Styela clava: one gene and its partner. The protein of the gene in region 1 interacts with the protein of each later gene in a biochemical or structural test. Links are inferred from orthologs where the notes say so. Each region holds a gene or a part of one and is shown on either strand. Other genes may lie near its edges.

Region 1 (6,515 bases):
CGCTCTGATTATGCCCGAACGTGCCCAGATATTTATATCGCGCATTTTTGCAATTAAATCGTAAAAAGTCATATCCGGATTCTGTCGAATAGCGTCATTTGCACAATGAAAGTTTGTTTTATTCCGGGGGTGAGGAAAGCCGATAAGACAGCTTGAACATATGGTGAACCACGGCCTCTCGTTTGGTTACCAGTTTATATCGAGTATGGGGTTAGTTAGTCAGGTATTTTTTCCAGATGCATGGACGTGATGGTGGAGGAAATGCACGATATAACGAGCCGTGAATTATTTGTGAAAAAACAAAACAATGTACATTTTTATAACAAAATGGCAAATGGGTGTATCAAAAAAAGAAATACAAGTTATGTGTAATTAATTCGCTGGTGAATAATATAGAAAATGAATTGTCAAAAAGTTGAAAGAACTAGTAAGGGAATACGCAGGGAAGCAAGTATGACGGCCATCAAACTTAACGAAAGCATCGAAACAAATACTAAACACACAGCGGGGAAAGAAAATTTCTTTCACAAACGTAAAAAAGTTGTGGAGACTAATTACTTAAGCTGGGTGTGTAATGAAAACCATGAAAATATCGATAAATGTTCACAGGGAATGAATGAATAGTTTTCTTGGAAAAGAGCAGTAATTGTTTTCAAGGAGACAAAATGTGTTCATTAGATCACAAGTCTCAGTTATCAGATTATTGTTTTTGCTGGACGTTTTCGACAACCTATGGAAAATCTGATTCTGTTTTAGAGGTCGGAGGGTATCCATCTGTTTCTGATCCATCTGTTTCCTGGTATTTTTGAGCATTTAACTGTGTCTCTTGTAGTAGTCTACACCGACATATTTTCTTATACCTATGCCTACGATAAGAGCCTCCACCCGCATTTTAATTTAAAACCATTGTTTCCAGACGGCGTGTGTATTTCTGCAATTCTGTACCCCGCAATACAAAACCACGTTGCAACCTTATCATTTCATCACTAAAATGCTTTACCAGGCATTTTTAGTTTGGCGTCGAAACAAAAGCACGTGAATTGACTTCGGTGGGTGAATATGTGTTTTCCATTTCATTGATTTGAGTTTGTCCCACCAAGTCCAGTTTAATCACGTATTGATCAATCTTCCTTCAACTTTATACAGATATAAAAACCCAAGTAGTCAGTTTTTATGTGCCCAATCAAAGAGCTAATAACGACAATAACATTTATCAAAACGATCAATATGTACACTCTGTAGTCAATAATACAAAAATGCTACGAATTGGATAATTCCTTGAAGGTATATTTCACCCAGCCGGAGTTATACAATTTACTACCAACTCTTTGACTTCCTTTTTGTGACGGAATGGTTAACTGGCGAGAAGTGACACCTTAACCAAGGTCATCATCTTTTTTTCCCTTCTGTGGCATAACTTTAAAATCCATGTTATTTTTCGCAATCTCGGTTCATGATACGCCGAACTTCAACTAGGGTATCAATATGGACTATCTCAGAGAAATATTTACCCAATATTTCAAAGCTGAGTTTATAAAAACAAATTGCCGTATGATTAGGCTTACCATATATCTGGAACAAAAAACCGGGACAGTGCGGATCGGACTAACTTTGGTTCGATTCTGAGACTAAGTAATATCTGAAACTTCTATCATATCTTTGCAAGTAGATTCCGGGCATTGAATTATCTAAATAAATTAATTCGTACGCGCAGTCGCCAAACATTACCGTATTTATAAAAGCAGCAATTATTTGAACATTTCAATAATCGACATAAGAGAGACACGGAATGATGTTGAATTCAGTTTTAAGGTAAATGAGCCGCAAATCCTTTGCCGGTCTCGTAAAAGCTCGTTTCAGTTTTATTTTTGAGTTTGAAAAAAACATTATTGTCCCTCGTCTTTCTACGCGTCCATTTGGCACTTTGATAATTTATCGACAGGTCAGTTAACATTGTGTGTCAAATTATCGCAAAATATAATACCTATGACCAGTGGCGTAGCATCCACCCCCGCGGTCGCGGGAGGGCAAACAGCGCAAAGGGGCCCAAGCGGTTAGAATTTAGAAATATAAGCCGCAAAACCAAAAGCTGCATTGCAAAACCAGGTAATCTGTTAATGCACATCTTATAACGTTTATGTTAGTTCTGCTCAAATCGTTTTGTTACGTAACAATGCCAGGGAGTCGTCGATTTTTCGCGTCTTGTGGTTTGTTCGCACCGGCAAAATTACGAAGGCTGTCAGAATGATGTCGAGAGCAAAACCTCTCAGTGGCGCACAGAAACGCAGAAGAGGGAGCACGTATGAAAAAATTAAAGTCACCAAGATAAACGGCAAATATTAGGTTACCATTGCCTTTTAATAACAACATGCTATGCTTTTTGACGAAATAAAAAAAGCGTTTTAGCTTATGTCCGAGAGTTTTTAGGGTCATTTCCACGAGAGTCTTGCTACGCCACTGCCTATGACACAAAACAGCAGTTTTCTCTCCCTCTGTTAACTAGTGAATAAGAGATAAATTGGATGCTTCCGTCAAAAAAATAACTTGTGATAATATTATAAAAATTGTTTTTGACTGCCACGCTACATAACCGGGACATTTAAGTCTACCGGACGGGACGCCGGGAAAGCTTGTCAAAACCGGGACTGTCCCGGCTAAACCGGGACGTATGGTAAGCCTACGTATGATGTATAACGTATATATACGAAGGTGGAGAAATAACTTGAGAATCAGGGTTGTGAAGCTGGAGTTTGAGATGTATTCCACGTAGTCGGAGCGAACGTCGTGTTTTCAAACACCTTCGATGCTAGAGTGGAAATTTCGTATTCGTCGTAGTTATAATTTCAGATTTTCAATGACCTGCATGCGGTTTTTGTTACCAAATTTTCTTAAATTAAAACTCAATTTCATTTTTCTCATGGAAATCGAAGTCAGAGCAAAATTTCTTTAATCCGGAGTCGGGAATCGGGGAAAATTTGCAATCGACTCCGACAGCCAGGGCGAGGGTCTCGCGAAACAACGGTGGAAACAGGATGAACATTCTAGTATGATAGCTGCAGAGTTCCGAACTTGGACTTCCTTTACTCAATAACTTAGGTTTTTTAATATACCAGTGTTGGTTTTGCATTTTGAGCCACTTATACAAATTACTGTAATACGGTACCGGTACCTATAGCTGAACAGCTGGTGTACCAGTACGGTAGCTAGATAGACTGAAACATGATACACAACATGATAGTCAGTACCAGAGTACGGTACTGTGATATCGAGGCCTTTGTTTCGTTTTTACAAATTGTGATGGCTGTGATAATTCGTAGTACAGTACCGGTAATAGCTAAATTTTAAATTCAACTTTCAGGGTATTAAACTCTATCTAGCTCATGTAAATTAGATCTTTGTCAATTTGTGTGGTTGTTTAAACTTAAAGACTTTCTCAAATACCTGAATACTCGCTATTGGTCATCGAACATTGAGTATATTGGACACCTGGGCACATATCAACAATAATACATGGCTGCCGGTATCCCCAGAAGAATTATAAAGGTAGACTATTCAACATCTTCTTTCAGTTTCAATCAAATCTTCTTCACAGTTGTTTAGAAAAATCCTGAATGAAATAAAAAAAGATTATGCATGAAAGAATGTTTTTGACATAAATATACTGTATAGTATATTGTCTTTAATATATTCTATGGATCTTAAAGTATTATTTATCCATTTATGAACAATGTAATCATGGTTGACAAGTCTAAATAATGCTTTCTAATTAGATTGCCTTGTTATTTTTCAGGAAACACAAAGATTAGTGTCAGATTCTCCACCTGGCATATGTGCCATTCCTGTTGAATCGAATGCGCGCTATTTTAAAGTAACAGTCGTAGGTCCACAAGATGTAAGTTGTAAATAATTAGGTTATATCAATCTTTTCAACTACTTGATCTTCAGCAATTTATTTGGATAATGGTTAATTAGCATAGAGTTTTCTAACTAACAATCTGATGAAACAGTGGCACGAAAAGCTATTACTCGCGATAGTATTAAAGAAATGATGTATAAGTAGTTATTCGCCTTGTATACCTAGATTCACTTTAGCACTGGGGTACACTCGGTAGTGGGATTCAAATTTTTGTCAGCCGGTTCCATCACAAAAGTCATATTTTTCAGCCGGTTCTGTTACAAAAAGTCATAATTTTTTAGCAAGTAAACTGATTATTTTAAATTACTTCCTAATTACCATTTCAAAATTTTCAATGATGTTGAGGATTGTCGATATTGCTGATTTGCTGTATATAACCGGCTCAATCCCATCACTGCTAACAGCCACACTAAAAAGCAGCAGTCGTCTCATGACTTTTACCTATGATGCAACAATTCAATTTTCAGACAAACAATCACAAAAGGAAAATTACTACAATTATAAAAGTTAACACAATGCATAACTGTTACGTGTGCGAACTTGATCATTTCACATTTTGAAAAAAAACATGAGCTACTTGATCCAGAAAATCGGTGTGTCAGATAAGATGCAAAAACCCATTGACAGTAATCAGTAATGCTAACCGGTTCTTTGATCTCATAAAATTCTGTAAGACGGTTCTATAGAAACTGTGCGAACCGGCTGAATCCCACCACTGGGTTCACTGTGGCATATCAATTAGTTATTCCAAAATATTATTACCGTTAGATACGAATATGATTGGTTGAACCCTTATATCTGTGATATATTAAAATATAATGGAAGTTTTAAACAAAAATATGATAAGCAAAATATTAGGTTGTGGAAATCCTTGACCAGAAGTCTAATTATGAATTGATCACGGCTCACTACTAAATGAATTTAATGATCAAAAACTTTTCTGGATGGAACAAGTTTTAAAAGTTGAGGAAAACAAGAACATAGTGTAGAAAAAGTATTGTTATGCCTAATTCGACGATTTCTGCTCACCATAATTTTCTCTATAAAAATAATATGTAACTTTAGTCGTATCATTTACAATTAATCATTTATTCTTTTTATTTGTAGTCACCATATGAAGGGGGTATATTCAAATTAGAATTATTTTTACCTGAGGACTATCCTATGGCACCACCAAAAGTTCGTTTTATGACAAAAATTTATCATCCAAATATTGATAAACTTGGAAGAATATGTCTAGATATTTTAAAAGGTGATGTCTTTTTTGATTCTTAAGCTTTGAATTAACCCTGAATTATTTTTATGCTTGACATAGGAGCTTGGCTCGACGGTGTGGCACATCATGCTAAGCGTCAGGAATACTCACACCAACGCACCTCTGATTATCCTGCATGGGTTCGCAGGTTCAAATTCCAGGCAGGGAGAGTTATGTGCGAGAGGATTGCTGGACTCCTCGCCGCCGTCTGGTGGTTCGCGTAACCGCTAGTCATATACGGCTTCCTCTACCTATAAGTCCATGCTTCTAAAAAAATAAAAATAAATGGCCAACTAATCCCATACTCGACATGGACTGGTAACCGGGGCGAGAGGCTTTGTGGTTCGCCATATGATTAAGCTGTCTTATCGGCTTTCTTCTCCCCCAGGATAAATCCTACAAGTTTAGTCCCCAATGAAATTACACTGCAATGCCACTGACAATGTAAATTTTTCTGTTAATTTAAGATATCCATGCCTGGCAAGTCAGGATGTTACAATCTTGAATCAAAGTTGAAATATTATGAAAAATAAAACAGAATGTCCAAATTAACATTTTGAATCCATTTTTTAGATAAGTGGAGCCCAGCACTACAGATAAGAACGGTTTTGCTTTCAATACAAGCTTTATTAAGTGCACCTAATCCAGATGATCCTCTAGCTAATGATGTTGCAGAGGCTTGGAAACTAGATGAAAATTCGGCAATTAAAAAAGGTTTGTGTTTTTTTTAGTTATTCTTGTGCAGATATATAATTTATTTGGTGCTCCATAAGTATGTGTACCAATATGGAGGTAAAAATTTTGTTTGCCTACTTGTGTAAAGAGACTGAAGCCTATGGGCAGGGGGTATATAGTCTCCGAACTCGTAATTGAACTAAAAATAGGGAAATTCGAAATAAAATTATAGCCTAACCCGGTACACATACTACAGGGGTACCCTTTATTTTGTATATACATGTCATTTTTCACTTTTGGGCCACAGATACCTTCCAAGAAACATTTTTAAGTGGGCCACAAATCCATTAAAAGTTATTGATAGTTCAGTTAAACTTTGATTGTAGTAGCAATGAATGATGATGCTGTTTTTCAATTATTAAAGTGGAAATGTTTATATTCACGGAAAGCATTCTTTGTAGTTTTTCCATATACGGTACATGAGTTAGTTGATGGGCCATAGAACTTTTACGCAATGAAAGTGGGTCACACAAGAAAAAAGGTTGAGAACCACTGGTACAGATTCTTCTTTCTCAACCACCAACACACATATACCTGGAAAGTTGATAACTGAATGAGAAACCTTGTTCGTCGATCTATCTTTTTCTACTTCATAATCAACATGAAAGT
Region 2 (6,515 bases), on another chromosome or scaffold:
CATCTATTTGTGTTTCCTTCTCCCTCAAGATAAATATGAAAATCCTATACTTGTTTTATTTTTGTGTAGAAACATATAAGAATGAGGTTACTGTGTTTGCTAAAAACTATATCCCCACATTGCTATGCCATACAGCATCGTACTTACGGAACATTGGCCAAGTCAAAAAATATATGTTTGAACTTTGTAAATCCATCAAGAACAAAAGTATTTCAAAAACAATTCTCTACCTCAGGAAGACTATATTTTCCAATTCGAAAACGTAGGTCGCCAACACTAGCACCTGGTGTAGGTTGGATGTCTGTGTTGTTTATTGCAACTGTAGGTTCTATTTCTATCCTTATTATGAAGCATTTCAAGTCGAAAAAAGAAGAGAAATTTGAATCTAATATGATAAAGTCAATGGGAAAACCAGCTTTAGGGGGAGATTTTACTCTTATAGATCAAGACGGCAAACAATGCAGTAATCGCGACTTTTTAGGTCAATGGGTTCTTATCTACTTTGGGTTCACCCACTGTCCTGACATTTGTCCTGAAGAACTAGAAAAAATGGGAAATGTTGTTGATACAATCAAGAGAACTCCGCAGTTGCCAGACGTTCAACCTTTATTTATAAGTATTGATCCTGACAGAGACACTCCTGATGCTGTTAAAAAATATATTGCTGATTTTCATCCTAATCTTATTGGTTTGACTGGAAATCGTGAGCAAGTTGAAAATGCTTCAAGAGCTTTTAGAGTTTATTATGCTGAAGGTCCAAAAGACTCGGAAGATGATTATATTGTAGACCATACTGTGATAATGTATTTATTAAATCCTGATGGGGAATTTTGTGAATATTTTGGTCAAAACAAATCAGCAGGAGAAATGTCTTCAAGTATTTCTTCAATAATGTTAAAATTCAAGCACAAAGATTGAAAAACAACTAATTTATTATCAAGTAGATTCTTATCTGAAAAATGCAAAGCATTATCTTCGTTATAGAAACAATGAAATTCGGGCAAAATTGAATGGTGACCGTACATTTGAACCCACGTACATTTGAACCCATGCGTATATCCACAGGTTCAATCTATATTCGGGTGCTAAAACCCATGGGTTAGGGTTAGTATGGGTTTAACTAACAAAAAAAATTCCATAGGTGCAATAGCATACAGGAGCAATTGTCATGGGTTCAAATGTACGTGGGTTCAAATGTAATGGAACCTAATTGAATATATCTTGTTATGAAAATCTCATGCTGTTGGATACTATCGATTTACAATCTTATAGAACTCTGCTAATAATTTATTATTGGTTTTAGCAGCGACCTTTTATTATATGCATATGTTGCATATTGCCTTTTTTCAGTTATAGCTCCTCGTCTATATGTTCAAACACTATCTCTTACCAAATAGGATAATGCACCCAAGTAGCAATCACCTATCTTAGCAAAATGATATATTTTTTAAAATTCTTATTAATGGCAAATAATGGTTTTTTAATTTAGAAACTAGTACTAATTTAGTGCTATAATAGTATGAAATGTTTTCTACATTTCTCTAATTCATGTAAAAGTATTTTACACCAAATTGTGAAGTCTTCGATATCTATTTACACCATGGCAGCAGCAAGACCAAGTTCGGATTTGGCTGCTTTCCGTGCAGAGTTTGAACGAGCAAAGAATATTGTTGTGCTGTCTGGCGCAGGAGTAAGTGCAGAAAGTGGGGTGCCCACATTCCGCGGAGCTGGTGGCTTTTGGAGAAAATGGCAGGCTCAGGATTTAGCGTCACCAAAAGCATTTGAATCTAATCCATCATTAGTTTGGGAATTTTATCATTACCGTCGTGAAGTCATGATAACAAAAAATCCAAATCCTGCGCATTTGGCTATCGCAGAATGCGAAAGTCGTTTGAAGAGTAATGCTCGGAAATTAACTGTCATTACTCAGAATATAGATGAGCTCCACAAGACAGCAGGATCTGAAAACATTATTGAATTACATGGATCATTGTTCAGAGTTCGATGCACAAAGTGTGGAAAAGTGGATGTGAACAAAGATTCTCCGATCTGTGAGGCATTGAGAGATCGGGGTGCTCCTGACCCAACTGCTCAAGATGCAAAAATACCAGTCGAAAATTTGCCGAAATGTAAAAGTTGTGATGGATTATTGAGGCCCGATGTTGTTTGGTTTGGTGAAGGACTAGATCAAAAAGTTCTCGAGCGAGCAGGCGAAGAACTTGAAAAATGTGATCTTTGTCTGGTTGTTGGTACATCGTCTGTTGTTTACCCGGCTGCCATGTTTGCTCCGATGTTATCTTACCGTGGTGTTACTGTGGCGGAGTTCAATTTGGAGGATACACCTGCAACCATGAACTTTAAATACCATTTTTGTGGTCCTGCGGGAGAGTGGATACCAAAAGCCTTAGCCCCTTGATCTGCTAACTGAGGTCGAATTGACACTTGTATATGATGCAAATATATTGCAGTCAACATGTAATTTATCTTCCATATGTTTTATGATAGCACTTTTTTTTAATTATTCTCCTATACATTTTTACTCCGTACTTATTGCATCTTATGGTACAACACTTTGTAAATTGCTGCTTTTTGCTGGGAGCATATGTAACCTGATGATAAAATCTATACCTTTTAAATATTTCATATAGTGCAATTAGAAATACCGTTCACATCATGTTAATAATACAGAGCAATGTATTAAAATGATGCTATTGTTTATGCTTAACTATGTTAGTCTTTTTTGGATGTCTTTGATTCAAATCATATCACATAAAATATTATAAATGGAGTATATGTTACTATTGTCCCAATGTCCCATAAACATAAATTGCATATTATATCAATGTCCCTCAATAGTCAATAGTATGACATTGTCATGGCTAGGCATTCTCAACTTTTCTTCGTATCATATCACAGAAATATATAAGAAAAATTTTATAATCGTTTCTAAAAACCTTCCTCAATCACATGTCTAGTTCTAGATTATTTTATAATACATATGCTTAAAATGCCCAGAGTGCAATCTATAGACTGTGTTAAATAGCTTATCTTTCTCTGTAATTTTACTTGCTTGACTTTTAGCAGAATATAAATAATTCTTTGTTATTCCATCTCATGATGGCAACCAGTAATAGTAAATCCGATGAAGAAGTCAAACAGGACACAAGTGATTCGGATGGTGCAATTTTACAAGGTATAATGAATATACATGAAGTTTTGATTTTAAGGGATTTTATTATCATTTTAAACTTCGTATATTTCAGATTCAACTAGATATGTAGTAGCCATGGTAAATACCTAGAAAATTTTACTGGAATGGGATTTATTATACCATTAATTTCAAATAGAAGAAGGGTACCCCTGGTATTGGAGAGGCCAGCGTAAGCATTCATTAATGAATCAAAGAGACGAGAGCAATGGTTTCAACCTTTTTTCTTTTCTGGCGCACTTTCGTTGCACAAAAACAATTCTGTGGCCCAGCAACTTTCTCATTCAAGAGAAAAACTAAATAAAAAAAAATTCCTCCCTGCAAAAATAGACAATGCCACTTTTTTAATCAAAATGAAAATTACCACTCAATTCCGGTAAATGATACCAATTCATCAATAACTGATGTCCCATCTAAAAATGTTTCCGTGGGCCATGGCCCTCTAGTTGAGAACCGGTGTCCTAGAGTCAGCTAAATGAAATGACTCAAACTTGTAATCAACAGTGATACCAAAACTCGGAGATCAACTTGGATGACCCATGACACGAGGATTAGGGAATTGTACCTTACACTTCGATGCTTTTGCTATTTTTTTGTATAATATATTCACTTATCATTTTCCAGCAATGCAAAACCAGGAAATTGATGAAGCGATATATGCAATGCATAATCAAATACAGAAAGATGTAAGACAATTTTTTTTCTTGCTCTGTTTAAGATAGTTTTTGAACAAATATGGCATATATGATTTGCTAAACTATCTGGAACCGTTATTTCATAAGTGTTCATGCTGTCAAATCTATCTTCATTTGTGGACAACAGAGTCGCTGTCACCAGGGATGAACAATTCATTGTTTTTACTATCCTCATATTTCTTCCGTTTTATAAACAGATAGCAAAAGAAAACGAATTGGTTAGTGATAAGATGGAAATCATGCAACTACAAAACGAATATGCTGAAGATGATGCTGTATATTTACAAAAAGTGAAGGTATTGTTAGTTAGCTTTCCTATAGTTAGAAAATTGCTCGTTTAATTCAGAATTCATATTGCTTTTTTGGATTATATTTTTGTTGCCCGCTATTGAATTTATGGAAGTAACACTAATAGCTATACTTGTATGGATTTACCACAAATGAGGAAATTTCTACACCAAATAAAACCCCATGTTCATAAATTTTACATTGTGTCTTGTGTAAATTATTTAGAAGTGGTTTTTGAGCATACACATTCTATTAGATTGGAATACTGTGATAAAGAAATGTTTATGTATATATTTGAAGCATATCAAATACATTTTCTCCTTATTTTTATCCAGTTTAAAATAGGGAATCATTACATTTATTATGGCATTCTTGATAACTGTACTTTTCACAAATTTTTCAGATTCTTTCAGAGAAGTACAGCCATGTTAGGAAGACAAGGGGAGATGGTAATTGTTTCTATAGAGCTTTTGGGTTTGGTTATCTTGAGTATCTGCTGCAAAATAAAGATTGTTTTTCTGGGTAAGATTTTGTCACATTGCAAATGAAGACACACACAACAGATATATGCAACAATCTAATAATTTGGGAGATTGCCATGTTAAAGATTTACAGTTCACAAGTGCTGCGCAATCTTCACACTTAACATCATGCACTAACCGCCTAGTCTCATGGAATATTTCAAATACACACTCTGGTTGTCATAAATAGCCTATGACGAATCAAGAAGACTTTAGTACTTCGCCTACTTCCATAAAAATATCCCTATAAATGACTCCTTAATCCTAATCAAAGAATTTATTACTGTATATAATATACTAGATTGATTATCAACGTGTTGCTCTTTATTGCACCAGGTTCAGAGCAAAAGCTTCAGAAACCAAAGACAAATTAGAAAAATTAGGTTATCCTTCATTCACTGTGGAAGATTTTCATGATCAAGTAAGTTTCGAAAATATAGCATTAAGCCCATGCATATGAAACAATTAACTCACTAGCCAATCCCATACCGGGTCAATTCAGAATACTGAATCGTCTGGAGTTCGAATCCAGAAGGATCTGAGAACAGGATTCGGTTCCAAGCGTAAATTTTTTTATTACCGGTTTCTACGTATTGAAACTAAGACGAGCGTAAAAACGGCAAACATACCACAACGAGTACTCTTTATTGCTACATTTTCGCGTTTTCCGACTTTACTATCTCACTTGGCGATACTCACTTTACCATGTTTCATTTTCCATTAAATGGTTTTTCGCGGAAAGCCAGATGTTAAATGCTATAACAATGTTTACGATCAATTAACATCAAATAATATTTGCGAGTGTCGTAATTCAAATACTGTACTTTTATGACACGCCTTCTCTTGAATTTCATTGTCCTGAGAAATGCCTGTTTGGAATGAAATAAAATGTACAAAAAAGATAGTAATACATTAGGCTACAATTTTACTTTTTTAAATTTTTAATCAAGCAATGTGATGGGGAATTCTCACTCACACAAATATTGGTAACTATGGAAACAGAATATGATTGGATTGAAGTATTTTAGAATAGTAAGTCATTGTACATTGCCCATCCTTACAGCCATATCGACATGTGAGCGAACGAGAGGCCATGTTACACTATGTGATTAAACTGATGCTTTTTGCCGAAGATGCCATGTTAATTGCATAGTAAACTTTCAGGGGAGTTTGTGAAATAGTTTGCATTGATCATTGCCTTATTTCATTTTTTTCTCTTCAGTTTATATCAGTTGTGGATTCTGTAGGATCTGGAATAACGGTAGAAGAACTTTTGCAAACATTCAGAGATGAAGGAATCTCTAATTATTTAGTTGTTTATTTACGATTGGTTACTTCAAGTCATTTACAACAAAACAGTGAATTTTTTCAGAATTTTGTTGATGAGTATAGAACTGTTGAAGATTTCTGTAAAGGGGTAAATTCAATAATTATCATTTCTTCTATTGGGCAATTTTAGTGGTTAGGAACATTTTGATCCAGTTAGGAGTTTTAATTTTTTCGTCTTCAGTTGATAAATGATAATAGATATCGTCTTGACAAAATTTTTTATACAATGTAAATATATCCCTCTCACTCCGAACAAGATCATGCTCAAGCAAGCACAGTTATGTAAGGGGCTGCTAGAGTCTGGAAAAAAACGGATTTTTCTGGTTCCACGTTGCCTACCCAATTTTGATATCCTGGGTGGTGGGTATGGGATTTTTACTTGTGATGTCATCCTAGATTTGTCCAATGCTTTAATTAATAACCATTAGACCACCATGCTGAAAACATTCATGTGCATTTATTACTGGTCAGCTA

Evidence for each region. The genes of interacting proteins can lie anywhere in the genome.
Region 2: the proteins of ubiquitin-conjugating enzyme E2 N-like (region 1) and ubiquitin thioesterase OTUB1-like form a complex in vitro, tested with the Homo sapiens proteins (6 studies listed by BioGRID and IntAct, with this or other methods). The link is inferred for Styela clava from reciprocal best matches to the Homo sapiens genes UBE2N and OTUB1.

What each region holds. Positions count from the first base shown.
Region 1 is NC_135258.1:13,557,733-13,564,247, forward strand, and holds the start of ubiquitin-conjugating enzyme E2 N-like, read left to right. Parts: upstream 1-3,335; 5' UTR 3,336-3,510; coding exon 3,511-3,543; intron 3,544-3,790; coding exon 3,791-3,892; intron 3,893-5,023; coding exon 5,024-5,168; intron 5,169-5,744; coding exon 5,745-5,885; intron 5,886-6,515. UniProt on the Homo sapiens protein: The UBE2V1-UBE2N and UBE2V2-UBE2N heterodimers catalyze the synthesis of non-canonical 'Lys-63'-linked polyubiquitin chains. This type of polyubiquitination does not lead to protein degradation by the proteasome.
Region 2 is NC_135260.1:14,938,284-14,944,798, forward strand, and holds the start of ubiquitin thioesterase OTUB1-like, read left to right. Parts: upstream 1-3,054; 5' UTR 3,055-3,114; coding exon 3,115-3,193; intron 3,194-3,832; coding exon 3,833-3,894; intron 3,895-4,100; coding exon 4,101-4,199; intron 4,200-4,594; coding exon 4,595-4,713; intron 4,714-5,048; coding exon 5,049-5,133; intron 5,134-5,934; coding exon 5,935-6,129; intron 6,130-6,515. Other genes in the region: protein SCO1 homolog, mitochondrial-like, read left to right, coding at 82-918; NAD-dependent protein deacylase sirtuin-5, mitochondrial-like, read left to right, coding at 1,520-2,416. UniProt on the Homo sapiens protein: Hydrolase that can specifically remove 'Lys-48'-linked conjugated ubiquitin from proteins and plays an important regulatory role at the level of protein turnover by preventing degradation.